Danio rerio: one gene and its partner. The protein of the gene in region 1 purifies or fractionates together with the protein of each later gene. This does not show direct contact. Links are inferred from orthologs where the notes say so. Each region holds a gene or a part of one and is shown on either strand. Other genes may lie near its edges. The genes, in order: exosc2 and exosc10.

Evidence for each region.
Region 2: the proteins of exosc2 (region 1) and exosc10 fractionate together in Homo sapiens (co-fractionation; 9 studies listed by BioGRID and IntAct, with this or other methods). This does not show direct contact. The link is inferred for Danio rerio from reciprocal best matches to the Homo sapiens genes EXOSC2 and EXOSC10.

Annotation. Positions count from the first base shown.
Region 1 is NC_133180.1:78,500,405-78,516,901, reverse strand, and holds exosc2 (exosome complex component RRP4), read right to left. Parts: upstream 10,814-16,497; 5' UTR 10,748-10,813; coding exon 10,620-10,747; intron 8,213-10,619; coding exon 8,111-8,212; intron 7,867-8,110; coding exon 7,821-7,866; intron 7,713-7,820; coding exon 7,623-7,712; intron 6,913-7,622; coding exon 6,847-6,912; intron 6,407-6,846; coding exon 6,338-6,406; intron 6,164-6,337; coding exon 5,987-6,163; intron 5,247-5,986; coding exon 5,118-5,246; intron 5,003-5,117; coding exon 4,922-5,002; 3' UTR 4,847-4,921; downstream 1-4,846. Other genes in the region: tyrosine-protein kinase ABL1, read right to left, coding at 2,535-2,670; spra (sepiapterin reductase a), read left to right, coding at 11,611-11,914, 13,643-13,933, 16,472-16,497. UniProt on the Homo sapiens protein: Non-catalytic component of the RNA exosome complex which has 3'->5' exoribonuclease activity and participates in a multitude of cellular RNA processing and degradation events.
Region 2 is NC_133198.1:16,307,233-16,323,734, forward strand, and holds the start of exosc10 (exosome complex component 10), read left to right. Parts: upstream 1-6,467; 5' UTR 6,468-6,529; coding exon 6,530-6,652; intron 6,653-6,828; coding exon 6,829-6,965; intron 6,966-8,741; coding exon 8,742-8,865; intron 8,866-11,480; coding exon 11,481-11,585; intron 11,586-11,978; coding exon 11,979-12,132; intron 12,133-14,874; coding exon 14,875-14,983; intron 14,984-15,088; coding exon 15,089-15,164; intron 15,165-16,502. UniProt on the Homo sapiens protein: Catalytic component of the RNA exosome complex which has 3'->5' exoribonuclease activity and participates in a multitude of cellular RNA processing and degradation events.

The DNA of each region.
Region 1 (16,497 bases):
GAACCTACACTTCTTGTATTAAAATGTATAAATATATTTATATACTATTTGTAATGCAATTGTGTCCTTTAATACTAACAGTCAGATATATAAACTGTACCTTTAAACAACACGAGCATTTATAGCAAATAAACAAATATAAATATCCAGCTCGCGATCTGAACCTTGTCTAGCGAGTTCTTTCTTACACTCATTTGATTGGTCATGCGCTCAACAGAAAGGGCTGCGATTGGCTGCGATCACAGCTGATCCATCATAGACACGGTGGAGAAAACTCTGCAGACACGCGCTCATGTCTGTATACAGAGGTATCACTGTAACAGCCAGGAGGAGAGGAAAAGTCACGCCAGCAGGTCAAATGGGCCACAGTGAGAGAGAGAGAGAGAGAGAGAGAGAGAGAGAGAGAGAGAGTGAGAGAGAGAGAGAGAGAGTGAGAGAGAGAGAGAGAGAGTGAGAGAGAGAGAGAGAGAGAGAGAGAGAGAGAGAGAGAGAGTGAGAGAGAGAGACAGAGAGTGAGAGAGAGAGAGAGAGAGTGAGAGAGAGAGAGAGAGAGAGAGAGAGAGAGAGTGAGAGAGAGAGAGAGAGAGAGAGAGAGAGAGAAATGGAGTTTACTTTCATTCTCTCAATGGCAGTGAAATGGAGCTTCTGCTGTAAGTGTCAGGGAAACTGTCCAGCAAACACACACGCAGTCAAATTTGTGCACAGTTTCTGCGTTTTTAAGTAGTTGGAGCGTAGTAAATACTCGCGCTCGCCTCCCTCGCCATAGTAAGCTACAAAACATAGTGCAAATGAGATAAATGACATCAGTATATAGTAAGCGGTTATGATTATTACTCAACCGATACCAAATTTTACATTTACATTTAGCAGACGCTTTTATTCAAAGAGACTTACAAATGAGGACAAGGAAGCAATTTACACAACTATAAGAGCAACAATGAATAAGTGCTGTAGGCAAGTTTCAGGTCTGTAAAGTATAAGAAGGAAAGCATTAGTATTTATTATTATTATTATTATTTATTTTTTAGTACAGTTAGCGTTATATCCAGAGAGGCACTTGCAGATTAGGAAGGGAAGTGAAGGCTAAATAGTTGAGTTTTTAGTGGTTTTTTGAAGACAGCGAGTGACTCTGCTGTTCTGATGCAGTTAGGGAGTTCATTCCACCAACTGGGCAAATTGAGCGTGAGAGTTCGGGAAAGTGATGTCTTCCCTCTTTGGGATGGAACCACGAGGCGACGTTCATTCACAGAACGCAAGTTTCTGGAGGGCACATACATCTGCAGAAGTGAGAGCAGATAAGAAGGAGCAAAGCCAGAAGTCGCTTTGTAAGCAAACATCAGAGCTTTGAATTTGATGCGAGCAGCAACTGGCAGCCAGTGCAAACGGATGAGCAGCGGAGTGACATGTGCTCTTTTAGCTTCATTAAAGACCACTCGTGCTGCTGCGTTCTGGAGCAGCTGAAGAGGCTTGATAGAGTTAGCTGGATCTTTCTGATGTTCTGAATTGTCTGCATTTGCTTCGTGGTGGACTGAAGAAACAATTAATTTTGAAACTCCTATCTAAAATATATTCTTTTTAAAAGTCGGGATAGAAAACTTTTTTCCTCTTTGTACACAATTTATTTCAATTTGAGAAACATTTCAAGTATTTTGGAGCAGTAAACGTGAATTATTGACTTCTGCTGTCTTCATTAGTTTCAAAAGCACTGATTTCTTTACTATTTAAAACAGTGTCTTTGGAGATCTTTACTGCTGGAGATACTGTTGTCCTAAAAAAAAATGTAAATAAAAAATCTTTAAAATATTTATCTTTTAAATTTTGACGAATTTAAAACCCTGACTTTTCAAAACCACGGTACACATTGAACACGGATATCGTCCCATGCCTAATCTGGACACAGCCAGAATGAGCGCCTCCTCTGCCATAAAGCTAAATAAGAGTTATCATGCCAACTTTCTACTATAAACTGAAGCTTGCAACACCCAAGCACTCTTCTGATTGGTCCACTGCTGTGGAACTGACTGTGCTGTGTGTGAAAGTCGAAGACCTCTCAACCAGACATGGCGTTTAAAAAAACGAGATGCTTCAAAAGATGCAACGTAGCAGTCAGACACGTACGTCAAGCGTGTGTTTACATTGAAAAACAATAGTATAGTAGTGCACTATACAGAAAGAAAATGCATTCTGTGTGAACGGCCCCTAAGCAGTGCACAAACACTCACAACCAATTTATAACCATTCAAAAAAGGCACCTCGCACCATTAAAAGTGCATTCAGTGTGATCAAGGCCTCAATGTTATTAATTGTATTATTAATTCCAAGGCTCTGCTGGTTTTCCAGAATTGTCATAGCCAATCTTAACCCAATTATAATTGCTTTGGTTCAATTTATAATTTCCACAACCACTGCAGAGCCTCGGGGATCTCAGGCTGGCTTGGCCTCCCCCTGATCCTAAATGTTCCCTACTGATCATTCGTGAGTGAACTGCCCCCTTGAGTGATGAGTGAATGTGGTGTGCTGGATCTGGCACTGACCGTGGACCGTGAACACATTGCAGTGCGGTGCTCCGTGCCGGGGCGTCTCTCTCCTCCCCGCGGCCTTGATGAAGGGCAGTGCCGGCAGGCTCGGTCTCCTCTGCTCACCCACTAACTTTCCTGGCTGCTGCCCCATAAGAACACACAGCGCAGGAGATCAGCTGGAGGAGCCTGAAAACACACACTCCCCTGTGCCAGTCATGCATGTGCCAGCCTGACCGCAGATCAGATCCCCGCCTTCTAGAGGTTAGAAGTGTTTCTAAGGCACTGTGGGATGTATGAAGGAGTCATCCTCATTCACAGAGTCAGCATTAATGCATGAACATCACTGCTGACGAGCTGTCAATCATTCTGACGTCACGTCAACATCAAACTCTCAAAGGAGAAGATATCAGCACATCAGAGGGGTCAGTGATGAACTCAGACGCTCTGGTGTGCGTGAAACTCTCAATGATCATCATTATTAGAGTTATTATGATAATTATTAGCCACTGGAAGAGTCTGGGAGTGCAGTAAACGCGTTTGGTGTGATCGTGGTGTCATTCAGTAAGCAGATGAGACCGTGTTTGTATCTCCTGATGCTCATTAAAGTCATGAATAAAGTGTGTGGATCTCACTGAAGCCCTCCAGGCTCTTCTGTGCAGATTTAACTCTTGCCTTTGGCTGTGGTGTTGAGTTCTGGTTAGTTGGTAAAGTCTCGTCACTTCCGCGTGCACTTCTCTCTCTCTGAGGCGGATTTAAACGCTCCTCTACCCGCCGCGTGTCTCCGCTGTCGGGCTCTTCTGCTCACCGGACACCCGCTCGGTTCCCCCGCAGTGTTTTAATGCTGGTTCTCGTCATGTTTTAGTAATATTTCATAACTTCCAGCACTTTTCTTCGCGTCGTTCGTCGTCGCAGGAACCGCCATGTTCGCGCACGCGAGCTGCGCCCGTGACGTCACGCGCCGCGCTCTTCCGCCAACAAGCGAAAACTTGTATTTTGTTTTGATGTGAACGCCTTGTAAGAAGTGTTTACCTATTGTTGTTGTCTCTAATATGAATAAATAATAATAAACAGTTAAAAATAAAAACGCTGCGGTTCCTGTACGCAGAAAACATATATTATACAAAACTGTAAGATTAATGCTCTCTTTAACATTCCTAATTAAAGACTTCAAACTTAAAGTGTATATGACTTATGATTCTCTAATTCAACAATATTATTAAATAATATTATATATTAATATAACATCATTCTGAATCATACTAAATTATACCTGATTGATATTTATTTCAATAATCTATTAATACAAAAATACTTCAACAAACTCCAAAATAGCTTTAATTTGATGCAACAGCGTTGAGTTTTACTGTCTTAAATATCAATAATATTTATTCTATTAGTATATATTATTATACAACTATATTAAATTCGATTGTATTTACATAGCACATTTAAAAACAACCATCATTGATTAAAGCACATCATAATGTCAGCACATAAATACATAATTATACGGTTATAATTTACAGCAATTAAATAAATCTGCTCTTTATAATAAGTGCATTACTGCTGAAGGTTGCAGAAGCGTTGCTCTATAGTTGTAGTTGTGTGATCACTGAAGCCCCCTGGTGGAATAAACACACAGAGCAGCGTCAGAAACACACTTAAGGGGTCAGTTCACACAGAAATAGAGATCTACTTTCATTTTAATTCATCTTAGTCCCTTATATATCAGAGGTCGCCATAGTGAAATGAATCACCAACTATTCCAGCATGTGTTTTACACAGCGGATGCCCTTTCAGTTGCAACCCAGGGCTGGGAAACACCCATACACACTCATTCACACACACACACTCATACACTACAGCCAGTGTAGTTGATCAGTTCCCCTATAGCGCATGTGTTTGGACTGTGGGGGAAACCGGAGCACCCGGAGGAAACCCTCACCAACACGGGGAGAACATGCAAACTCCACACAGAAACACCAACTGACCCAGCCGAGACTCAAACCAGAGACCTTCTTGCTGTGAGCACACAGTGCGACACCACTGAGCCACCGTTCCACCCTAATCCTCATTTGCTCTGCTTCTAAACACCTATGGGTTTCTTCTGTCGAATACAAAATAAGATACTCTGAAGAATGCTGCCGCTGCCTTCAATAGCAGGAATAAAGACGATGAAAGTCAATGTGTGTTTCTCCAGCACTCTTCAGGTTGAGAGAATGATCAACACACACACACACACACACACACACACACACACACACACACACACACACACACACACACACACACACACACACACACACGCACACGCACACACACGCTTTGGGTGTTATAACAAATTTATTACAAAATATGAATAATGTGGTGTGTGTTATATGCATTATATATAGAGCGGTGTTTCAGCCTTCATGCTCCATCAGACGCTGCCGTGTTTCCAGAACAATCTCCTCCATGATCTCCGGCTTCAGGATGTCTTTAATCTGGAGAACAGCAAAGATACTGAGAATGAAGAGCTGCACACACACGCTTAGAGACAGACAGACTGTCAGACAGTCAAAGCGACAGACAGACAGACAGACAGACGTGTGTTGAGACCTGGTGTTGCAGTGACGCCTCATAGCAGTACAGCACACTGGTGTCGAACAGCAGCACCTTCTGATTGGCCAGAGCCAGGAGACAGTTCCTGAGCCTAGAGACCACCTCACGATCCGACAGAGACACAGGCTGCGCGCACGCACACACAAACACACACACACACACACACACGCGCACAAGTTGTTATATTTAGATCACACACAACATTATACACATTTCTGTCCCTGTAAACCACCAAAACCAGTACAGACACACACACCCAATCATTCACACACACACTATCCCAAACACACACACACCCACTTACCCACACATGCATGCATGCATGCATACACTCACGTATATGCACGCGCGCGCACACACACACACACACACACACACACACACACACACACACACGCACACGCACACGCACACGCACACGCACACGCACACGCACACGCACACGCACAAGCACAAGCACAAGCACAAGCACAAGCACAAGCACGCGCGCGCGCGCGCACACACACACACACATGCACATCCATTCCCACAATCAATCCCACACACACACCCTATCCCAAACACACACACACACACACACACAATGCTAATCCCACACACACACTATCCCAAACACACACGCCCACTTACCTACACAAGCATGCATGCATACACTCACGCATATGCATGCATGCACACACACACACGCGCGCACACACACACACACACACACGCGCGCGCACACACACACACACGCGCGCGCGCACACACGCACATCCATTCCCACAATCAATCCCACACACACAATGCTAATCTCTCTCTCTCTCTCTCTTTCTTTCTCTCTCTCTCTCTCTCTCTCTCTCTCTCTCTCTCACACACACACACACCTCCATGCTGGTGTAGAATCCTCCGGCCTGCTCCTCCTGCAGTGCCGGTGTGGGACTCAGCCACACGTATCCATTGTTCCCCAGGATCAGCGACGCTCCGCAGGGCAGATTGTGGAAGTGTGTCTTCTGCCTCTTCACCAGCGACGGAGACACATACACCAGCACACCCTGACCCAGCTGAAAAACAACCCAGACCAGCAGCTCTTCAGTGTTGTTAGATGGGTTTGACTGGTTCTGACTGATCTACGGTGTCTGCACTGAGAGAGGACAGTAGAGCGCTCTGGAGAGAGGATTACTGTAACAGAGAAATCTGGGGGACTCAGCACAGTATATAAGGCTCTACACGCTCACCTTGCCGTACTTCAGACTGCGCGTGTGCAGAGAGAGAGCGCCGTCCGAGAAGATCGACTGAACCTCCGCCTTACACACGTTAAAGAATACAGTAGAATATATACAGATGAAGACAGAATTATTAGCCTCCTGTGACATTTGATCTATTTTGCAAATATTATATTTTATTTTTCCCAGGTAATGCCTAGTTATAGGTTTACTAACAAAAATAAATAAGGCTGGAAAAATGATTCATGCTAAATTAGACAAATAAGTGCTAATATTAATGACTTTTTATTTCCAAAACTCAAATATAAATGTATTTATTAAACAAGCACTAATAAAAAAGGTCATATTTTACAGTCATTTATAATAGGTATTAGCATTGAAAGAAAGCTAACATTTTTATTATATATTTCAGCTTTCTTTCAATGCTGATACCTATTTTAAATGACTGTATTTTTACAGTAAGAACACTGTTTGTATATCCAGGGATGATGAATGTCTGATGCGGTAAATGTGGAGGATACACTGATGAGATCTCCTTCCTGCAGATAATCCCTCATGGCCAGCTCATCCTGCGTGGAACGACGTCTCTGAGAAAAAAACACACACACACACACACACAATAGTAATTGATCTGTTGTGGTGATTCTACAGTTGCTATAATAACAAAACAACTACAGTAATTGATCTATTGTGGTGATTCTACAGTTGCTATGGTAACACCACAATAGTGATTGATCTGTTGTGGTGATTCTACAGTTGCTATGGTAACACAACAACTATAGTAATTGATCTTTTGTGCTGATTCTACAGTTGCTATGGTAACACAACCACAATAGTCATTGATCTGTTGTGGCCATTCTACAGTTGCTATGGTAGCACAACCTCAATAGTAATTGATCTGTTGTGGTGATTCTACAGTTGCTATGGTAACACAAACACAAAAGTAATTGTTCTGTTGTGGTGATTTTACAGTTGCTATGGTAACAAAACAACTACAGTAATTGATCTGTTGTGGTGATTCTACAGTTGCTATGGTAACACAACAACTATAGTAATTGATCTGTTGTGGCCATTCTACAGTTGCTATGGTAACACAACCACAATAGTAATTGCTCTGATGTGGTAATTCTACAGTTGCTATGGTAACACAACAACTATAATAATATAAACAAACAAGCCAACTGCGGGGTATTTATCAGTCCACTATAGTTAATGGTAGAGAGTGCGGGAGCATTCATTAAAGTATTGTAACTGAGTTGTGTGTGAACTGCCCCTTGAATGCGTGTTGCCAGCTCACCAGCTCTCCTCCAGGCAGATTGACCGCCGACAGCAGCAGCACTGAATCCAGACGCGAGTTAGTCTCCACTTTCCATCGCTTCTGCTGCACCTTAACATTTAGAGATGCACATCATCATCATCATCATCATCATCATCATCATCATCATCAACAACAACAACGAGAGATTTTATACATAAACTACTGAACACCACTGACCTCAGTGATTCTGCCCACAACCACATCACCCACCTCTCCGTTATACCTGCAGGAGGAGAACATCACATCTAGAACACAGTATTACCACAGCATTATACATTAGTGAAGTGCAGTGTGCTATACTGTAGTGCACAGGTCTCTAACTCCTGGAGGGCCGCAGCTCTGCACAGTTTTGCTCCAAGCCAATCAAACACAGTTGATCAGGGTTGGGGCACATTGTGCAGAGCTGCGGCCCTCCAGGAATTTAGTTTGAGACCTGTGCTGTGGCGTTAGTGTAAGTCAGTGTGCACCTGGTCTTCAGCGGTTTCACACAGATGAGTTTGTTGACTCGCTCCACCTGTCCTGCCACTGAAGCGGTGAGTCTGTCTTCATCCATGTAGGTGCCGTGACCCCTGAGGACGAGGTGAAGTCAGATGAAAACGGTTTTTATCTTCGCACAATTGGAATTTCACATTCAATAAGACAGTAAAGCAAAATTTAAAGGGCTCTTGTTTCACCCCAGCGATGATGGATTGACCGGCACATTTATATGCTCTTTCTACTAATTAATTAAAGCCTTTGCTTTGGATGTATAATGAATGCATTGATCTAAAATTTAGATAATTAGCGTGCAATCACGCTCATCACTATTGACAATAAAATTTTAGCCTTGATATTTGCTAACAGATTAAAGATTTCAGCTGATTGCTGAAACACAGTCCGGCTTTGTAGGAGCTAGACACATCAGTAATAATATTACAGTTTTTTAGACCTTTTCGATTATGCAGACTATAAACATCACAAGCTATGATTCTATTCCTAGACTGCTATAAAACATTTATTAAGCCATATTAACATTGCTGTTTAAGCTTGACTTTCATGTTTGGCCATTTCTAAATGGATGTGAAAAATACTTTAATAATCACACACAAGTTCTCACCATGAGCTCAGGTTTATTATTTCAGATATAGACACGCAAGAGTGCACGCAAAAAGAGAAAGTTGGGGCACTCGGAAATTAATTAATAGTTAATTTTGTTACAGATTTTTAGTAAAACATTTACACTTCTGCTTTTGACAGATAATGTAAGGATTGTTTTTGTAAATAAAATGGAAACGCATGATCCAGTTCTGAATTTAATATACTCTGATTCCAATTTGACCTTGGAGAAAGTTCGAATCGTCCATGAAGAAAGGTAAATCTCCCAGCAATGATGGATTATCCGTCAAGATTGGTATGCTCTTTCCACAAATTAATTAAAAACCCTTTGCTTTGGATGTATAATGAATGCATTGATCTAATAGACAAGACAAGACATCATCAATGAAACGAGGTGTTCCCAAACCGATAATTGGTGTCCATCACGCTCATCACTGTTGACGATAAATTTATTTTTGATATTTCCTAACAGATTAAAGATAAAGAATCAGTCAGCTGATTGTGGAGACACAGTCCGGCTTTGTAAGAGCTAGACACATCAGTAATAATATTAGACTTGTCTTGGACCTTTTAGATTTTGAGCAATTCCATGCAAATGTCAACCTTGCCATAAAATAAACAAATACATTCTTCACAAAAACACCAAACCCTTTCCCGGTGTTTTGAGTAGGCTTGTATTTTACAGCACTGTTAAAATGTCACATCCATAATGCATAATCGCTCTCATGCAGACTTTATCCTATCATTACAACTCTATGATACTAGTCCCTGACGTTTATAAAGCATGGACTTCTTATGCAGACTGTGAAGTTCTGTTTTGGTGACTTTGTTAGTCAATGCTATTGAAATGTTTTACTGGCACATTAGAGGTTCTGTTTTAACCCATTAACAATCAACGTCTCAGTGGCAGGACGATTAAGTTTAATTCACTATACTGCATTTAAATACTAATCTAATCATGACAAACTATATAATCGCTGGAAAGGCCATTTAAACAAGTTTTAATCCTTAACCCTACAACCTGTGGGAATGTTTGCGGTTGCATTTTTAAAGCATAATATTACAGTCTAAACATAGAGCACTTTTATCAAATAATATATCATTTAAAATCTTTCTAGTATTTATATCTGATGACTGATTTTTCAGAGTTGTGAAGCATTACTTTGCTACAGCAATCCACAATTGAGGTAAAGTGGGTTTTATATTGGCACATTCAGACTTTCTTCTTAATAATACAGTTTCAAAAAAGTAATCTTTACAAATTTTAATAATGAACTCATATCAGCAGCCAATGACTATCAGAGTACAACATTGTTTACAGTCAATTAAATAGTGCTGATGTTGTTTTTAAGTCAAACTACATGCGATTTCAGACCGAATACTCAAAGTACAATACAGGCAACGTGTCACAAGTTATCACCGTTCAAAAATGAACGAACGTGCAAATACAAACCAACTTTACCTCAATCAATACACATGTAAATAATGTATTTTAAAAGTAACGTAACGCGTCACCGTAAAAAGTAACGCAACTAGTTACTTTCCAGAAGAGTCTGTCAGTAAAGTAACTTTCTCCAACACTGAACAAATACACTACATACACTAACTTGAGTTCTCAATCAAGTCCGCTACAGACTGACAGACTGCAGGTCTCAACGAGTTCACTCCACACACACACACACACACACACACACACACACACACACACACACACACACACACACACACACACACACACACACACACACACACACACACACACACACACACACACACACACACACACACACACACACACACACACACACACACACACACACACACACACACACATTTATTCTACAACAGCTCAGTTAATACCAGTTATTAATGTCTGTGTACCTCATGAAGCCCGTGTCGGAGGTGATCACATCTCCAGGCACAACCAGGTGTTTGTCTTCGCGGGAACTCTGTCCTGTTTTCAGGGAAACGTGTTTGTGAACCGCTGGAAGCCGCATCTCCACCGCCATGCTTCAACAACACTATAGCCGGGCAATATGGCGGCGAGCACGGCTCCACTTCATAATAAAAGCCCGACTGTGTTCGTGTTCGGTTTGAGCATCTAATCATCTGAATTTGGTCATTAAATAACGATTTAAGTTCGTGTTATACAATGTGTGAGGTTTTATTTTGTAACGAGAATTAAGAGACTTTTTATATTTAACATTTTAAATGACAATATAGCAAAACTTTAATACATTAAAACATTAAGTTAACATTATATGCTCTAACAAAATAATTTTATACTTTTCAGAACCAATTTGCTTTCTACATTTATTTTTGTTATTCTTTTATTGTGTAAACACAGGTTCTTAAAAGAATGAGATTATATAAATAATCATGTATTATTATGTTTATTATTATTATTATTATTATTATATTTATTATTATATTTGTTACTATTTACACATTTTCATACACCTAAATATCTTTTATGTATTGTTTTATTGTGTGAATTGATCTCGTGGCCTAGATATTTACTGTATCTAGTAAATTGTTTAAATTTGTATATATTTATTAATATAAATTTGTATAGATTTATTGTATATATATTTATCACTGTTCTGATTCTTTAATTATTTCTTGATGTTTTTAGCATTCTTTTAACCCCATTTACAGTATTGTTTGTTATTTTCACTCATTTGTCTATTGTTTTGTTTTATATTTACTCTTTTGTGTATTCCTGGAGTCATAAATTTTCTATTTCACAGTTTATTATTTTATTAATAAACCATAAAGTGGGCGGGGTCTCTCGTGTCTTCCGGAGGCGTGACTAATCGATGCTGAACTCTCCGGTTCTTCGGCAGCTCTTCTCGTCAGTCCTTGGGGAATCATGAGCACGGCTTCGGGATTCGGGAAAGCACTGGTCATCATCACCGGGGCATCCCGGGGCTTCGGCCGAGCTCTGGCTCTGTCGGTGGCGGCACGTGTATCTCCGGGCTCAGTACTGGTGCTCGCGGCTCGGTCGGAGGAGCAGCTGCTGGAGCTGAAGAGCGCGCTGACCCGCGGGGAGACCGGCCTCACCGTCCGCTGCGTCCCGGTGGATTTGGGCTGTGAAGCAGGAGTGGAAAAACTCATTGCCGAGACCAGAGATATCCAGCCGGACATCCAGCACCTGCTGCTCTTCCATAACGCCGGTCAGAGAACACTCAACGTTCCCTTAACGTTAGATTTTGATTCCTGTTAACGTTAGTTTTTTAAAGCCAAAGATAACGTTTTGCGAATTCTTTTTAGATTTAACTTTTTTTCCAACCATAAAACAACTTTCCCAGAACTTCAAGAGGGGACACGTAAAAAAAAAAAACAAAAAAAAAAACATACATAACCTTTATGATTTGATTTGTTTTGTATGTTTGATGTTTGTTTTCATGTAATTCATGAGCTATATTTTGCAGAATTACAGAACTAAATTTGTAAATACAGCATTTATGAAAATTTTAAATTAATCAAGATGTGGAATAATTAGTTAAATATTAAAATAGTCATAAATGATTTACTCAGTAATAATGAGGAACGTTAGATGGCATCAAAACCTCACATTTATTTGAATTTCTGTTCTGCGCGCCTAAATTCTAACGGTCAAAACCTTCATTTAAAAATCAACCGTCGTTTTGTAACGGCCTGACTCACTATAGCTATACTTTCTCGTCTTGTTATCGAATAATTCCATGTAACGTAAAATTTATTTTTTATTATTGAATACCTGACATAAGGTGAGCCTAACGTAACGTGAAACCGCTTGTCTACAGACCAAAGAGAAAGGCATGTCTAAACCTCAGTTCAGTGGTAAGCATTCAATGTATAATATATCCTTTGTTATCTCAATGGTTTGTTGATGTGATTGTTTCGGTTGTTTATGTCTGTGGATACATTTAGTGTTGTATAGAGATTGTTTTGAAATCATTACTTGGTGTGAGGAAACGTAACATCTCTGTAAAGTTAAATGTTACCCCGTGATGAAATAACTTAAACCTTGCACAAGGAAGGACAACAAATGTTCCTAAAGTGCTTGAGTTTTATAAGTGCTGGACTAAGATCTCTTCCATATATATATTTATATATACATCTAAATATATTTCTTTATATATTTTGCCAAAAGAGTAAACCTGTTTCTGCGTTTTTTGTGTGTGTGTGTTTGTATTTTACAGTGCTTTAAAAATACTCAAAAATGTAATTGTCTGTGTTTTCAAACTATTATATTTGATTTACCAAAGTCACATTGCTCATCCGTCACATCCATAATGGAGAGATGTCACATCCATAACAAAGCTTTTTCCTCATAAATGCAAAAATCTAAAACCAAATAAAATCAATCATGGTTGTTCTATAGTGAGCCAACTCTTATCCTTTTGATTGCAGTTTAATTCACAGAATTTCTACAAAGTATGTTGTATACTGCAAACTTGGACTTTTTTTGTCACATCCATAACGCATGTATATTTCCCTAATTTAAAATATAAAATTGGTATTTTTCTGCTCCCACAACTCTGGCCATGTTGTTTTGAAAAATATAAACATATGTTTCAATATAATGTTAACATATACTTCCTCTGTCGATTTATGTTTTGAGATTTTACTGCAAATGTCACATCCATAACGCTGGAACTGCTGGAACTTTTACTCCATAACTTTTCTGTTCTCTAACTCCGTGTTTCCCAACTCTGTTCCTGAAGGCACACAAACAGTTCACATTTTATACCTCGTCCTAATCAAACACACCTGAATCAGCTCATCAGAATAAGGCAGACGTTGACAATATGCACTGTTGGTGGTGTGCCTCTAGGAACAGGTTTGGGAAACACTGCTTTATCTGTCCTCTTGACTTTGTATAAGCGATTGATATTCTGCTGCTGTGTGTCCTGCAGCTTCTCTCGGTGATGTGTCTCGTTACTGTCGTGATTTCACCAATATGGAAGAGCTGAACTCATACCTGTCGCTGAATGTAAGCTCCGCCCTCTGTCTGACGGCGGGAGTCCTCCGCACATACCCGAAGCGCTCCGGGCTGACCCGCGTCATCGTGAACATCAGCTCGCTGTGTGCACTCCGGCCTTTCCCCACCTGGGTTCAGTACTGCAGCGGCAAGGCGGCACGCGACATGATGTTCCGCGTCCTCGCAGAGGAGGAGCCGGAGCTCCGAGTGCTGAACTACGCTCCAGGTACATAATGAGCATCATGGTGAGAATATTAGCTGTGTTTTCGTCCACCTATTGTTATGTGGATTACTGCACTACACTTCTCTCAGCGTTATTTCTGCATTTTTAGCAGGAACTGAGGGTTTTGCTCAGTGGTTTTGCACTGTGGCATCACAGCAAGAAGGTTGCTGGTTTGAGTCTCGGCTGGGTCAGTTTCTGTGTGGAGTTTGCATGTTCTCCCCGTGTTGGCGTGGGTTTCTTCCGGGTGCTCCGGTTTTCCCCACAGTCCAAACACATGCGCTATAGGGGAACTGATGACTAAACTGACAGCGTGTGTATGGGTGTTTCCCAGTACTGGGTTGCGGTTGAAAGGGCATCCGCTGTGTAAAACATGCTGGAATAGTTGTCGGTTCATTCCGATGTGCATTCGTTTCTATGCAGTTTTATAAATGAGAGCCCTGCTTCATTTTCATCATAGTAACAGTTTTTCAATACAGCAGATGGCCACTTCCAAAACAAGACCAGAACATTAATAAAAGCACACATTACACAGGCACTCATTATGCACAGTTTATTAAGCCATAACTGATAATAATGGTGTCATGCACTTGCACAATGAGTACATTCACCCCAGCTCACAGCAGCACACAATTAGGTTTGAGCTTGCAGGTAAGTCAGTGTTAAGCAAGCCAGGATGCATTTGGCATTTATTTAGTCCAGACTAAAGAAACCAATAGAACTGAACTGAATGTGAACACACCAGAGCTTTCAGTAATAACCGTGAGCAATGTATCACTATTGTATTTTAAATCTCAAAACTGATTTTTGCCATTACGTTTTAAAGCACCATGTAAACAATGTGATGGTGCGGTCATGAAATAATCAGGAGAACCAAACCACATCTGGTGGACTAAAAGAAGGATTTGTCTTGGATCTTCTTGTGATACCAATGGCATATTAAAATACCAGGCGTGATTATTTTCCTGGCTGGCAGATAAAAGTAGAGCATGATCGAAATCTCACTGCTCAATCAGATAAGGAACATTTTATTTTATGACCTGATTATCTGATATGATCATTTGCTCTGGAAGTTCCCTAAAGCAGACGTGTGTAAAATCATTCAAAAATAGTTATAACACGTTCAGTAGGGAATATATTATACATTATTTTTTAATAATTCAGAGGAACAGAGAGCATTATTGTGTACAGTTGCTGAATCTACAGTTCAGGTGTTGCATTTTAGACATTTGTCAGGTTTTTGCATTCAAATAAAATTGTAATACAGCCTTTTCTGATTTGATTTATAGTGGTTTGTTAAAATTGGGTGTCTGTTTAGCCAAGCATGTTTTAGTAAATTTATTTAATGCCAAATTGTAACGGTAAATTAATGAATGTAATTCGCATGTGGCTTTATGAACTGTTTTAAAAGAACATTTGTAATAGAGTAATTTATTATTTTACTTTCCTGTTTTCACCATCATTTCATTCTTGTTTCGTAGAAAACTTGATATTTTCAGCAAAATGACTCAATAAGGGGGTGGCGCAGTAGGTAGTGCTGTTGCCTCAAAGCAAGAAGGTAGCTGATTTGAGCTTCGGCTGGGTCAGTTGGCGTTTCCGTGTGGAGTTTGCATGTTCTCCCTGCGTTTGCGTGGGTTTCCTCCGGGTTCTCCGGTTTCCCCCACAGTCCAAACACATGCGGTACAGGTGAATTGGGTAGGCTAAATTGTCTGTAGTGAATGTGTGTGTGGATGTTTTCCAGTGATGGGTTGCGGCTGGAAGGGCATCTGCTGCGTAAAAACTTGCTGGATAAGTTGGCGGTTCATTCCGCTGTGGCAACCCCAGATTAATAAAGGGACTAAGCCGACAAGAAAATGAATGAATGAATGTTCTGTAGATTATGTTCTGTAGATTTATCACATCCTTCAGTGATCTTCGTGTCACACTTGCTTGTTCATTTTTTAAGTAGTGATCAAGGTCTGCTATGCAAATGAGGTCTTAAAGGTGATATATTATTAATTATGAATGCAAACTAACTTAAATGTATCATTAGAAATTTAAAAGTGTGAAAAAGCTGAATAATCAGACATTGAATATACACTGTAGACTTGCATTGAGACTCTGAAGGCTTTAATGTGAACTTTACTCCCTACTTATGGCTAAAATAATCAATATAAAACTATTTTCTGGCTATCAGCTCTGATCAGGGTAAACATGAACTAAACTGGAGGTGATTTGAGAAGAAATTCAACTATGAAAGTGATTTATTGAGCTCATGATCTTTCACGCGTCATGGGATTGATGCTCAGAGGCGTTCAGGCCTTCAGCTGATGTGTGTGTGTGTGTGTGTGTGTGTGTGTGTGTGTGTGCTTACTCTGACATGGCTTGAAAGGAATTTTTTAACTTGGTAGCATTGGCATTCTCAACTTCAAAAAATTAGGAGCAACCACCAAAATTGATTGAGCACCACTACAAATTGTAGATTAACAGATTTATTGTATTGGAAAACAACAACAATCTAACTAAAGCTAGTGTTTGTGTGTATCTTCTCTGTGACTCCCGCAGGTCCTCTAGACACAGATATGCAGCGT
Region 2 (16,502 bases), on another chromosome or scaffold:
TATATATATTACATATATTTATATACAAACATAAACCTTACATTTTAACAATAAGACAAAAAAAAAAACAACCAACAGTCATACAAATAATTAAACAATAAAATAAACATGCATTCCCCCAACCAACCAACCAACCACCAGTGCTCTGCAAAGGTAAAAGTAGGTACTAAAGGCATAGTGAACATATTATTCACAAGTTTGTAGAAAGGAAATAAAAAGGGGACCAATTATTTTTTTTTTTTTCAAATAAAAAATCTTGTCAATAGGGGTATACCGATTTTTTTCCAGATGAAATGCACCCGTTAACTCTGTCAGCCATAATTTAAGCGTTGGAAATTATTTTTTCTTCCAAAACAAAAGGAAAAGTTTGTTGGCAGAGATCAACCCATTATAACTGTTGTTACACTAGTGTAACTCTCAAACTTTTTTCAGAAACTTCAAACACAAACACAGATTTAATTGAGTGCACTAGAGATATAATAATATGAAAATTTAATATCACTGAACAAAATGATCATGCTTCATAATAACCAATCATGCTTTCAATGGTAATGACAATTTGAAACATTAATAAAAATGTATCTTGTGTACACTATAATATGCATCTACAGCACCAGAGCCATTCAGTCACTTCTGATTGAGCGAGAGGTTTCTGACAGTGTCCACTCGATGAAGCAGAACTAACACTCCATAATCCAGAAACAAAAACGGCCAGAGGACACACAGAATTCCAGACATGACTGGGACAAGATGTCGCTCAGTGCTTCAGTCAAAACACTCACAAAATAATTGCCACCTATGAGTCTGGACTAGACATTTTAGCTCTGAAATGCTACAAGGGAAAGCTTTATTTGTATTAAGATAAAATGAAAACCACAAATTTAGCTCAAAACCTATGCAGATAAACAAAAAGTACTATACATCAGAAAATAATAATACATTTAATACAATAATACACGTTATAATATCACACATTAAACAATGAATTGTCATGCTTTGCATTAAGGTTTTGTGGTTAGTTAACATGAATTCTAAATGAACAATACTTGAACAGCATTTATTAATCATGGTTCAGCATTATAAATAATAATAATAATAATAATAATAATAATAATAATAATAATAATAATAATAATAATAATAATAATAATAAGTTTTTACCAATAAACATAATAAATATTTTGCATACATTTTACCACAAGTAAACATGCATTTCTTTATTATATTTCTAAGTAGATAAAGACGTTCTCTTACTTCAGGAGAGTTTGGCGTGTCTTTGGTCCGCATCAACACTCCATGTAACAGCGCCGTGTCTTTTGCTATCTCCTCTAAACGTTTGATCAGGTTTTCATCTTTCAGGGTGTCCTCCAGTTTGACAGACATAGTACTAAATCTGCAGTCAGAATAAAACACATTTGATTCATTTTATAAGCAAATGCTTCACTTGTCGGAGTCTGATTTTCAGGGAGCTAGACATTTTCATATACAAGTCAAGATTATTACCGCTTCTGTGATTTTTTTTTTCTTTTCCAAATATTTCCCAAATGAAGTTGAACAGAACAAGGAATTTTTCACAGTATTTCCATAATATGTTTTCTTCTGGAGAAAGTCTTATTTGTTTTATTTCAGCTAGAATAAAAAGCAATTTTTTTTTTTACATTTTAAGGTTAATATTATTACCTCCCTTCAGCAATAGATTATTTCAATTGTCTACAGAACAAACCATTGTTATACAATGGTTTGCCTAATTAACCTAGTTAAGCCTTTAAATGTCACTTTAATCTGAATATTAGCATCTTGAAAAATATTCAGCAAAATATTATGTATTATCATCATGGAAAATATAAAATAAATCAGTTATTACTAATTAGTTAATAAAACTATTATGTTTAGAAACTTTCTTTCCGTTAAACAGAAATTGGGGAAATATACAGCAGGCTAAAAATAACTGTACATTATTTTCCTGTAATGGAAGCACCATCAAATTAAACTTAAATGAAACACATTTTATTTTCTTTACAAGGCCTGTGTTATTATTAAAGATATTAAGTTATTATGTGCAGTTATTATGCAAAAACAAAAAACACACATACACATCTACTTAAAACAGGCTTGTCTAATTTCCTAACACCCACATTACAAGTATAAATGTCAAAAACGTGATGTATAGTAGATAGAAAGCCTGAAATTCATGAGTTTTCTCATTTCAAGTGACTTTTGTAAAAATAAAATGTTAAAATATGGATGGAAATAGGCATAAGACGATATGGCAATGTACAATGTATAACGCAGTTTGGAAAAAAATCAAGGTTTTAAAATCGCCAACATTTTCTGTAATACCGTTCCTATGGTATATGTAAGATACTTTACTTTACTTTACTTTACTTTACTTTACTTTACTTTACTTTACTTTACTTTACGTCCACAAGTGGAATTTTTTCTTTGGCTTCACCACACAACCACATCAGCGTTCACATTACACACATCACAGAAAAAACAGGCAACACAAATACATTCAATGTTGTAACTTATATCACATTAAAAAAGTCAATTTATAACCCTATACATATCTTTTTTAGGATAACAGTATTTTTAAGCAGAAAAGATCTCCAAAGATGCCATTTTAAATTGTAAAGAAATCAGTGTTTTTGAAACTAATGAAGACTTAATGAAAACTTAATGATTCATTTAAATTATTTAGCCTGGCATGTTTACTGCTCCAAAATATTATAAACGTTTCTTAAATTAAAATATATTGTGTTCAATGAGGGAGAAAAGTTTTTTTTTTTTTTTTTTTACCCAGACATTTAAAATAATATATTTTAGAGCAGTAATCACAATACAATGAAACTGTGATAATTTTAGCCAAGGTTATCATACCGTCAGAATCTTATACCGGCACATGCCTAGATGGAAACTGTATTCCATGATCTTTCAGTGTTAAGCATACGTTCATGTAAAAAATGTCCTAACTAGTACTTAATTAAACTTGTAACATTATAAGTAATCATACAAAATACCATTTTAAACCACTACAAACTTCTTAATGCCAAATGGCTAAAGGTTTTAAAGAAAGTATGAGATTTAAATTTTAAAAATAAGGAGTATTTTGGGCTGTACAGCAATTTCTAATGAAAACCTTTAATATATGAAAAATGTATATTGTTTCATGACATTTTTATAGATAATTCATCTATTTTTCTTAGACTTTCAACTATTTCTACATTGAACAATATTTTAATAGGTGTGTTCTGTGAATCATGCTAAAATGTATAAGTAGTATTGTATATATATATATATATATATATATATATATATATATATATATATATATATATATATATATATATATATGTGTGTGTGTGTATATATTTACTTTATTTTATATATAATGGCTGTAATAAACTTCAATTGTTCTTTGTAAAAATGCATTTTGGTTTTTGACCCACATACATCTTTCTGATATAATAAATAACACATTAACATACACCTCCTTATACTGTGTACAATATTTACTAGCTTTACTGGGACTTTGCACTAACGTTACGCTCCCAGAAAGGGGAAGTGACATATTTACGACTTCATTGAATCGCAATTGAATGAAACTGTAAACAGTATAAGATGCTAAAGGTAGCGTTATATGATGATGAAACGATCATATCTCTACACTCACCATGACACGGCATAACTTCACCCTATTACACTCACAAACAGCACAGTAGGTGGATGTCAACAATTAGCCCAAATAGTTGTAGAGTTAAGCCAAACCTGATAGTCGCGGGCTCTGTTTGGTCTCTCCTGCGCCTCTGAAGGTCGTTGTTTACAGTGAGTCTGTATAATATATTTAATGCCTATTCACCTGCTCTGAAGGTGATGAGACTGACACAAATGAAGTGGCTTCAGGCGTGCTAATAGATATGTAAATGTATGTGTGTGTGCGTGTGTGTGTGTGGCGCTGTTTGTATCAATGGCTGACAGCGACCAATCAGCGAACAGGATAGTTATGACGCAAAAGTCGACGTGCCCGCGCAGCATTTCTTTTGTAATGAACGCAATGTGCTTAATTTCCAACCCATGATGAATCAAACTAAGACAAGATTGAATATCTTGCTTTAAAGTGATTTATCCCTGAATGGGAGGGCTTTTACTGTCCAAAGCAGAATTTCTGTCTGTGTCTAGCTCTAGACATGCCATCCAATGTACAAAGAATTAGATCAAATACTATTTAATTTATTTTTTGTTTATTTATTTTTTTAATGGAGGAATAGACACCACTATTAAAAAAGGGGAAATTCTGTGTAAACAAAAATGCAATGCTGGGTTATCTGTGCTAAGTTTTGAAACTTCAAACAATGCATCCAAAATAAATTGGTGGATTAAATTCATGAAAGAAAAGGACAGTATGCATGCGGTTTACTTTTCCAGAACACATATTTGACGTAATGGGGGTGTAAAATTTATGTTGAGATTTCTGGTGAAATTAGCTACATTTCACAAACAAGCTTTATTGGCCTGGATGCTGGAATTTAATTTCCCCCCCAAAGCAAGTATATTATTTAGAATAAATTGAAAGTTTATATGAATAGATAAATATGTAAATAAATCTATGAAATCCTGCATAAATAAAACAACAAATAAATAAATACGCAAATAAATAAATAAATAAATTCCTGCAGAAATCAAACAACGAATAAATAAATTCCCAAATAAATAAATTCCTGCAAAAATAAAAAAAATGAATAAATACCCAAATAAAACAAACAAACAAACAAATAAATATATAAATAAATCCCTATATATATAAAAAATGAATAAATAAGTATCCAAACAAATGAATGAATAAATAAATAAATAAATAAATCCCTATGTATATAAAACAATAAATGAATAAATACCGAAATAAATATTTATATAAATAAGTAGATATGTAAATTCCTGCATGAATTAAACAATGAATAAATAAATACTCAGATAAATAAATAAATAAATAAATAAATAAATAAATAAATAAATAAATAAATAAATAAATAAATTCCTTCATAGATAAGACAATGAATAAATAAATAAATAAATCTCAAACAAATAAATAAATATATACACATATTCCTGCAATAATAAATACATAAATGATTAATTGTTTGGGCAGATAAAACAGCTTTCAGTTTAGCATTTACCATTTACTTATTCCCCCTAACATGAATTTAATTATTTATCTGCCCACACTATTAATTCTTTAAATATGTATATAGGCAGGAATTTGTGGATTTATATATAAAATAATAATAAAAATATATATTAATAATATATTTGTGTGTGTGTGTGTGTGTGTGTGTGTGTGTGTGTGTGTGTGTGTGTGTGTGTGTGTGTGTGTGTGTGTGTGTGTGTGTGTGTGTGTGTGTGTGTGTGTGTGTGTGTGTGTATTATTATTATATTTTTGGTGTCGTCCTCTATACCCGCCCCTCATTGATTGATCGTTAGAAACAAAAATGTTGGATTTTTTTTTTCATTAGAATGGTGACCATTGGGAAAAGTAAATACACAACTGTTAAAGAAATAAATAAACATTTGAAAGGGCAGAAAAATAAACTTTCAGTTCAGCGTTTTCTTATTCCCCCAAAATTCGTATTTTATTTAATTAATTACCTGCCCGCCCCACACTAATTGTTGATATATGAATTTGTGAATTTTATACATTTATTTATTTGCATATTTATTTATTTAAAGTTTTATTTCTTTACAGCGCTGCACGGTGGTGCAGTGTAGCACGATCGCCTCACAGCAAGAAGGTCGCTGGTTCGAGCTTCGACTCGTTCAGTTGGCGTTTCTGTGTGGAGTTTGCATGTTCTCCCCGTGTTCACGTGGGTTTCCTCAGCTAAATTGTCCGAAATGTATGAGTGTAAATGAGTGAGTATATGGATGTTTCCCAGTGATGGGTAGCAGCTGGAAGGGCATCCGCTGCGTAAAACATTCTGCTGTGGCGACCCCAGATTAATTAAGAGACTAGGCCAAAAAAAGAAAATTATTTATGCTGGAATTTAGGGATTATTTACTCATTTATTTATATATTTGCGGATTTATTTATTAAATCATTGTTTTTGTTTTGAACTTGGTGTAAAAATAGCTAACTGCGTGTTAAATCCCCTATTTTATGGCACTTAGAAACATAAAAAGCTAGTGTAAGAAAATTAGTGCATTTAACAGAGTGCTTCAGGCGACATTAATTAACATAAAGGCAGGCTACGTTTAATTAGATTTAATTATCAGTTTGTAATTAATAAACTGCACTTTAAAGAAAATATTTTGTGAACAGTGGTATTATACATGTTTGGTCTAATGTGTCGTTGCAGTTTCGCAATTCTTACCAGCAGATGTCGCCAAGCTTATAGTGTTTTGAACGACAGTATATTCAGTGTATTCATTGTGTCCTTCAGGTGGCGATATCAGCTGTCATGGTCGTCCACACACGCTTTGCCAAAGAAGAAAAAGATTTTCTCGTGCGGCTGCACTTTCGCGATTTAATGTTTTCAACATGGCGGCCTCCTCGAGCAGCGCTGCCGTGGCCAAACAGAGCGACCATTCTCCATCAGCAGAGGAAACAGAGGCAGAAACTGAGTTTTGTCCGGGCTTTAAAGACGTCGACACATTTGTCAAGGTTTGTAGTTTGTTTGAATGTGTGTCAGCGCTGTCATTATCTGTGAATACACCGCAGCGTGGAGAGATTGAGAGAGACATGTGTGGACACGGAGTGTTTTTCGATCATTAAATGCACGTATGTTGTCGTGTAATGATTGTAGTTGCTGAAGCAGGTTTGTTTTTGTGTGTGTTCAGCATGGTCTTGGAGCGGTGGTGTCCGCCACCAAAGCCTCTGCTGCTCTTCCATCAGCGGGAGATGAGTTTGATCTGTACCGCAGTTTCTCCTCCTTCCAGCAGTTCTGCGCCTCACAAGGAGACCGACTCTTACACTGGTAAAACACTCAATAAACAAATACCGAAAGACTCATTATAAACACTGAATTGTTTACAAACACTGAAACACCATTTACAAGCACATTGTGGGCAAAATAAACATTGGAACATTACGCACTCGTGATAAACATGCTGCTGCAGGTTGAGGTAAAGTTGCTTTTATATTTGCACATCGCACTTTCTCCGTAATAATATATCTTCAGAAAAGTATTTCTTGTAAATTCTTAATAGGGGAAATCATATTAGTAGCCAAAGAATATTAAAGTACAACATCGTCCACAGTCAATTAAATGTTTCTAATGTTGTTTTGAAGTCATACTTGCATGTGATTTCAGAGCGAATATTGAAAGTACCATGTTAAAACATATAGGGAACGTGTCACAAGTGTTCAAAAATGAATGAATGTGCAAGCATAAAATCAAATTTACCTTGATGCTTTATAACATCTAATAGATGCTTCAAAGAATGTCGTTAACACTATGACACCATAATCAGAGATAGCCAGCAAATAATGCTTTTTGTAAGTGAACATTTGTTTGATTTATTACGATTAAAAAAAAAACATGAACATGCATGCATTGTATAATACCATGTATATCATACTACTAGCCAATTACTAAATATTCAATAAAATAAACCTACTATTTTTTTTCATAATTAACGTTTTTTTATATAAATATTGTAAAATGTATTGTATTTTTAATGTTTACAGATGCCATTAAGATTACTCAAGTAGTTATGATATGTATAAATGATAAGAATTAGTAAAAGATGAACAGAGAAATGCAGTAAGCTAATAATAGTAATAATAATAATAATACAAAGGTGATGATGATGACTATTATTGGTGTTAGAATATTAATTTCCACACTAGTAAAATAAATACTACAGCAATGGTAATATTATTTTACAAGTGATCTTAGGGCCTTTTGTACAAACATCATGTAAACGTGTTTTGACAGTAAATTCTAAACATGCATGCATTAATAGTTACAGTTTTGATAAGAAAATAATTTAATTACATAAAGCTTTTGGTAAAATGTAAAACTGCTATTAAAATATACTAGAATTTTACTGAATGGAAACTACTACTAGTTATAATATTTAATATTATTACTATTAGTATTATATATGAACTTAGGAGTTCTTGGACAGTGGACAATATATAGTTTGAGCGTTGATATTACAATGTGTGTATCCACAATAGATACAGCAGCATCTGAATAAATTATTAAAGATTAAGATATTATTATTAAATATATTTTTGTTTATTATATTTATTAGAATTTTTAAATCATTTTTATAATGATGACGATGTTATTTTATGTTTGATTGTTAAATTTCTATACCTGAATAAGAAAACCTTTAAGCACTATTCACCTTTTCTCTTTGCTCTGCTGTATTTATATATGCTTGTAATTTATTATGATTTATGCAAACGCACTGGACAGAAACAGACTTGATCATCTCAATCTATCTAAATGAATGAAATCTTTCCAAATCTAGCTATTCTATTCATCTGGTAAAATTATATTCATTGATAGTATATATGAATAGTAAATATTGCAAAAAAAAAAAAAAAAAAAAAAAATTCTATATATATTGCAATGTCAGATTTTTCCAATATTGTGCAGCCCTACTACTAGGTATTCTTAAATATATATGCCACAGCATACTGCATAAAGCTTATCATGTCAGTGTCAGTAAAGTTTACTTCACTGGAGACTGACAAAGCAATTTTCTTTTTTTTCTTTTTCTTTTTTTTTTCCTGACAGTATGAGCCAGATAATGCAGCACCATGGCTGTAGATCCCACATGAGAGACCGGAACAAACTGACTGGACTGGAGGACCGCTTTGACCTGGTGGTGGACGCAAATGATGCCATCCTGGAGAAAGTGGTACGAGTCTCTCACTGACACGCACACATCGCTGAAGTTCTGGTTCAGTGCTTCCTGTTGGCATGTCTGTTAATGCTGAGAATGAGAAGGTTTATTCCAGACACTGAAAGTCAGGGAATGCTCATATATTTTTGTTAATCTCCTGGAATATCAGTGATTATTGTGTTATTGCTTTAAATTTTAGTTTCCATTCAGCAAAATGCAACTTTTCTGTACCATATTCACATCTATAGTTACTCTCATCAACTCCCAGTCATTTAACTAAGGCTAACATGTTGGGACAATATACATTGTAAGAGATTTGGTTTCAAATGACAACTTCAAAAACTTTGTCAGAAGTAGACCTCAGGAATTTGTTAGGCTATCATATGTGGGAGAGAGAGCAAATTTGTTTTAATATTTGAATTATACTAAATTATTGATTGTTCTTATAATGCCTGTTAAAACTTAAAATGATATTCAGATTAAAATAATTCTTAAATTATTTTCTTATCTATCCATGTATTTATCTATAAATCGTTTTTATAGGAACCCTGCTGTTGTGTTTACATTTGAAATTAGTGATGCTCATATCAGGATTTTTGCAGCTGATACTCAGTACTGATTCCTTGTCATGGTGATCGGCCGATACCGAGTACCGATTCTGATGCTTCAAGCTTTATAGTGCATAAAGCACATTTTCCCTCTAAGTATGATACTTAAGTGCAGACGTCTCCTTTCCTAAGAGAAAATATTAAGGATGTTGCATATAATCCCATATCTCTCATTACCATTTAGTTTGGGCATGTAATGGTCAGACACAGGTTTACAGAAAATAATAAATAAAACATGTAAAACAAATTGGTTAGAAGTGACTGAAAAAGCTATTTAAAAACACTGCTAATGACAGAAGAAGAATTCAACATGTTTCAATGAAGAAAAAGTTTGGTGTATGGGCTTTATTTGATGGATAAGAGTTTGAGCTTCACACCTATTAGTACATTACTTATTTACTTAAAGGAAGTAGGCCTATAAACTACTGTTTATTGCAATAACTAGGCCTATATTAGGAAAAGTTGTATTATTAAAAAATGAGTAAAAATATTTATTTCATTAATATTTCCAGCTAGTCTTTTTGGTGAACTTGCAATATTATCAAAAACACAGAACTTTCAGTCTTTGTAAGTAAAAGGCATAAATACCTGCAAGCCCATTAAAATATCTCCTTGATAGGAGCTCAACGATCAGAGCTCAGGACACTCTCACAGCAGCTCTAAGAGAGAGCAGGGATTTTCTTTACTGCACTATTCATTTAACCTATCAAATATAATGCTTAGAACATTACTGTGTGATGTTCACACTATCACAGTCTGTTCATTGCTCATTCACTTTTGTCACCATGATTTGCAGTTTATAGTTTACAAAGTTAAAATGCAAAGAAATGAACAGTGATTTAATGCCCTGCTACATTTGTTATTCGTAATTTCATATACAGACAACCACAATTTATATCATTATAAAGATGTGTGTTTATGTAAACACTATAAATGAGGACTTCTCCCTCAATCTCCGTATCCAGCAGACTCAGTGCAGCAGGTCTCCTGACCTGTCTATTTTAACCATTAACCCTGCTGGTAATCTGGAGGATTTAGGCAAACACAGCTGTACGGCGATGTGTCTGAATGTGAACAAACTCCTGATAAAAGACAGCGTCCGCCATTCTCTAATTCTCGTGCTGCTCTCCCGACAAAAATGCTAGCAGCACACACACAGCTTTGCTGTATGATCGGCCCTGACAAGATCGCGGGGGAAAACATACAACAAACCCAGTGGATCATGGAAACAAACACATACGAGCCTTCATGAACGGCTCAATACTGTGCCGTGGTTTCCGTGTCTCTCAGCTCGGGCTTGACACTGGCAGGTCTGGCAGGTCTCAAGAATAATTAAGCAGTCGGCTCTTCTCATAGGATAAGAAAACTCTGCTATGATTAATAATGAGAAACCGACGCGTCATCATTGCACTTGCACGCGTCATCATCACTGCGCTACGTCGCCGATTTTGATCCCGCCCCAAAAATCATTTTAAACCCGGAAGCTGAAATTAGCTGACAAAAGCTCAAAATTATCCAGTTTTTCCCACAATTAAAGCTGACAGGTGCTAACATTGTCTTAACTGATGCTCAACACACACACATCTGTTAATATAAAAAAAAAAGTTCTCCGGGGTGTCCTGAACCTTTAAACGCTGGACATACAATGGTTGCACTTGCAACAAAGAGACATATCACTCGCACAAGTCGTGCCAATAGTTTGTATAAATTTTATATTTAAGCTGTTGTGGCATGAGCACAGTGATTACTCACACCCACATGCATCGTTTACCTCTTCACGTGTTACAGCACTGCTGACGAGTGCGCGTGTGTCTTCCTCTGTGTGTAAACTAAACAAACACGATCGATCGGTTCATGAGATCGGTCAGATTGGCGAGTACCGATCGATTCATAAAATGTGATAATCGGCCAATACTGATCTCCGGCCAACCTCTTGGAGCATCCCTATTTGATTATCCTTTGAAATTGCGTAAAAAAGTTCACACCACATATATGACTCTGCCTATTGCTTTGTTTGTGCAGGGGATTCTCCTGGATGAGGCCTCCGGTGTAAGTCGCTCCCAGCAGCCAGTGATGCCTGCAGGATATCAACCACCCAAAATCATTGTGTCTAGCTGGAATCGCAAGGTTAGTTTTCCTGCACATTTTTTTTTTACATCACCACTTATCTGTTTTTGGCATTTTATATAAAGGATTATATTTGTACAAGTACTTTTTGTTTAAAATATTTTGATCAACAATAATTAAAAACCGCATTGATGAATAATTCTGACATTTTTGTAAAAAAAAAAAAAAAAAAAAAAACATGTTTCTCAAAAGGATTGTATTACGTAGTGACTTTATCACTTGTAATGTGCCACTAAACTGTTGGAAATCTAACAAAAAGATCTTCCGAAAATCCTGTATTTGCAGATTGTTTCAATGCCTTGGGTTGAATAATGTTCTATAATACAATAATAATTTATTAATATAATAATAGCTGCAGTTTGACTAGACATTGAGATTTTATTTTCCTTGCAGGGTGGAGGTAGCCGAGCCCAGACCTTTCAACTTCTAGCTGCCAAAAACATACAGCGGCCACAGCTCAAGTTCAGAGATAAAGTGGACAACAGCAACACTCCGTTTCTCAGTAAAATCTTCATCAAACCCAACGCAGTCAAACCTCTGCCCTCATGTAAGTGTGCAAGGAAACCAGCACCTACAGCACGATCATTTGTATTTGTGGGCTGATTTTTGGTGAATATGAAGAATTTAACATCTGCTAGAACTCAGTCCTGGAGGACCGGTGGCCTGCAAAATTTAGTTTAGGCCCTATGCACAGCTAGAGCTTTAAAGCCAACGATAAACTTCCGGTGAAATTTCAATGTGACTTTTCAATTTTACAAGGTTCCTTTTACAGCATGGATGTTGTAACGTAATTACAATACATACTGTTAAATAGACTTAAGCATTCATTTGGTTATTTAAGCGTAAAACAAGATGAAAAATCATTATAACCACTAGCGCAGTCAGTAGCAACACGCTAGTAGCAGAAATTCCATTGAAAATGCTGGGGTAAATAAAACATGGCAAGGGAAATGGAATTTAAAGGGCCATGAAACCCCCTTGTTTCAGCAGGGTGTTTTCACACCTCTACTTTAGAAAAATTGCGCTGATTTACACTGAGGCAAAACAAACACACAGATGCAAGGCAGAAAGACAGTGACTGTGGTTACATGGATGTCAGTAATTGAATTATTTTCCAAATTATTAAATGGTGGACTTTAACTGCAGTTTGGCACTTTCATTCAGGAGTTTCATTCATGCCCCTAGTGATAAACCAGATATTTGATTCGAGGAATTGCTGAAAGCGTGTATTTTTCATGCAATGTTTGATACCGCACTGCGAATGAGAGAAAAAATCCTCCACATTTCTCAGTAACTTAGATGCACTTGGCAGGTAGCGTCAGAAAGCCGTGTGTGTTATTCCTGTCACAAAATGCGGCGAAAATCCTACACGACTGTAAGTTTGATTGTGGTTCTTACATGTTTACACTCGGAGAGCAGCATTTACAGCAGATTTTTCAGTCCATAGTATTGTAGTGATATTAGCGTACGGTAAACTTTATTAACTTAGAAATCATTTGACTAAGGTCTGTCTTTAAACACTGTTCACACTGTAAACAATGTTCCTTAGACGCGTATTTCTGTTGCGCTTTGTGTGCACTGTAATCCACACGTGAGTCCAGCTGCGCTCTCATAGAGGGAAAATAAAAACAAAACCTTCACTGCAGCAAATTATAAACACAATACTGATGACTCGTATCCAAACATTTCTTGTTCTCCCACTTGGCAACACAACGTGGCGTCTCTCTGCCGTCTGAACACTGTACAGGTACAAACAGTCTTCAAAGCTACCATGCATATTACTGAGGTTGCACCGCATACACAATAGAGCGCGCTGATTGGTTTAAACCAAGTCTTACTCATGAATGAATGCAGCACACTCCGAGACGTAATAAGGCACTCTCAGGTACAGACGTCCAGTCTACACGCTGGAATACACGCTAAAATCTCATAGCCGTGACACGGCTTCAAAAATTGGTTTCAAACTGGAAGAACGAATTTGCTCGAAATAACGCTAAAACAACCTATTTTCACTTTTTAGTGAAATATTTGTCCTAATAGTGTTTTTAGTAGTGTGGGACACATATACGACTGTCAACAGCTCAAAAAAATGTTTTGTTGTTTCGTGACCCTTTAATGCAGTGCCTCTTGTCCAATCTGAGACCCATTTCATATCGCATTTTTAACAGGCAGTGAAGATTGCTGATTTTTAAAGAAATCAGATCTTAGATGTGACAATTTATTAAAGGAAAGACAGTTCACTAGAAGCCCTTGGGCTGCCTGGCTGAAAATTAAAAGTCTGAGTGCATATAGCCCATTAGACACACCTAGACAAGCTAATCAAGCTCTTATTTGTTAAAAAATTGATTAATTCATAAACAAAACAGAAGTGTTTTCTGAGATGAACAAATGCTCTTCTCTATCTCTTTAGTTACTATTTATTCACTAAAGAAAATGGTAACTTAATGTTAACTTGGTTGTTTGTTCAATTGTTTAAAAAAAAAAAAAAAATCAATATTTCATTTTTGAATACAGTTTCATGGGTGCCGCTAGGGGGGAAAAGTTAGCTGTTTTGGGGCTCCCAGAGTTACTATTACAACCCCTACTCCCTCTATTACCCCCACCACCTGCTATTCACTTTCGTACACTACAGTGCCCACCAGAATGTTGTCATAGGGCCCGTACTGGTCAGCGGCGCCCCGGCTTACTTGCTTAAACATCACTCATTCAGTAATTTTGATCTCTCAAGATTTGTTTTTAATATTTTTTTTAAAAGGCAGTAAATACTCTCTTTCATCCACCTGTTTTATGCTCATTTTGGTATATTGGTAGGATACATTTTTTAAGTCTTTAAAAAGACGGAAATGCATTTACAAAATAAATTTATCTTTAAAGTTATTTTAATTATATTTAAATAAGTGTGATGATAAACCAGCAGATTTGACCACATTTTAAATCATCTAAAATGTTGTTTTGGTCATTCTAAAATCCCTCAGCCAAAGTCTGTCATCTAAGTCTATTGGTATTATTAGTTCATTATGTTTTGTCTTTGTCTTGAGGCACAATTAATTTATTTTATAGAAAAAAATGCATTTCACTCTGTCTCACTCAATTGAAATAGTGTTTTATTAGCAAATTTATTTGGATGGAAACCTAGCTAATGTAAGCTTACACATTCTTTAAACAACCATTGCAATGTTGTTTTGGATGATAAATATCGCACACCCCTAGGGAAAACTATAAAAATAAAAAGTAATGTATATTAAAAATAATAAAGCAAACACTAAACTCTAACCAAATGTGTGACCAGATTTTGCCGACAAGCACATTCGCAAGGAGAGGCCGGAGGATCTAGATGTCCCTGCTGCTCTGGCAGATTTTATTCATCAGCAGAGGACAAAAGAGCACGTGGACGACATGTAAGATGCGTTTAAGGGATTTATTCAATGCCTCTGTTACTTACCTTGCATCAGTGCTAATTTTGTTCTTCTTTGTAATAAATTAGTTGTAATGCTGTTTTCCAGGTTTTCCCACCCATATCAGTATGAATTGGACCATCTGGTCATGCCAGAGAATCTGAAGTGTAAACCTGAAGTCCAGGTCAAAGCCTTATTCAGCTTTTCTCCCCTGACATTTATGTTCTTTTAACACTGCAAAAAACTGTTTTTGTCTATTTTTAGTCCAAATATCTAAAAAGTCTTAAAATTAAGAAGCATTTTCTAGACAAACAGAACATATATTATATCATTTTTAAGAAATATTATGCCAAAATCAAGTGAGTTTTCCTTAAAACCAGGCAAATGAATCCACCAATGGCGTAAGCTAAATCATTTTGTTTTTGCTTTGAAATAATATTTTTTTCTGCTACCCATATAGGCAGATTATTTTGCTTGTTATAAGGAACAGTTCACTTAATTTTGGCATATTATGTCTTAAAGGAGTGGTCCAGAGTGTAATTTAAGCCTTGGTTGTGTTCATAAGATGCAAAGCAATGTGTGCTCATGTTTCCTTTGTAGATAATCACATAATTTTTTTTCGTGTATCTTACTTAAAATATATACTGCTACTCTGCTAACATGAAAACGACTATCATATTAATAGTTTCTCCACAAGAGGCTCTGATTGGTCATCTTACATAATGTGCTGTGTAAATGCTGTCAGTCAGTGTAGCTGTAAGCCATATCAGACAGGAGGATACAGCTGAACCCCATCCCTGCTCCAAAATAAAACCTGAAAACTGTCTTTCATATATATATTCAGATTATGTGAATGTTTAAGTAATATGAAATGTTCACATATCTCGTGAGATGTAGTATGCACGGAAAGCGGCCGCATAGAGAGACCCTGCAGCGCAGCTGAAGTTTGTGGGTGTTTACAGCGGTTTGATGGATAAATATGAATTTGTAGCTAAATTGTTAGTAGTGCCAATCAGCATTTTCCGTAGTTTACATCCTTGTTTATGTTATTGCTACATTGTACTGTTTACGCTAGAAACTGTGCATGTAATAGATTAATTTTAACAAATAAAAACACAGGTTTTGGCTCAGTCCATAGCTTTTGCTATTATGGCTGGAGCTGTTTCTTTAAGGAGTTTTAAGCCGAATCCATCACTGAACTGGGAGAGATTCTTGAAGCTGTCCTTTGTCAAATGCTAGCTATATATTTTTTATGATTCTCTGGAACATGATTAAAATTAAACTGTAAGCACTTCTCTCTTTGTGTCATGTCATTTAGAAGCCTAAACACAGAAACAGAACAAGCTTTGCGGAAATAACAGTGTTTGGACAGCATTTTAGCTTTCTCCGCTATAACATTACAACACCTCTGGCCATGCCCCTTCACTGCACGGGGTGTGTGTAACCTAAAGGGTTTAAGATCTCATTAAACCAGAAGTATTTTTTGTAATCCCCAAACTTTGTTTGCTGTAGACTTTGCTAA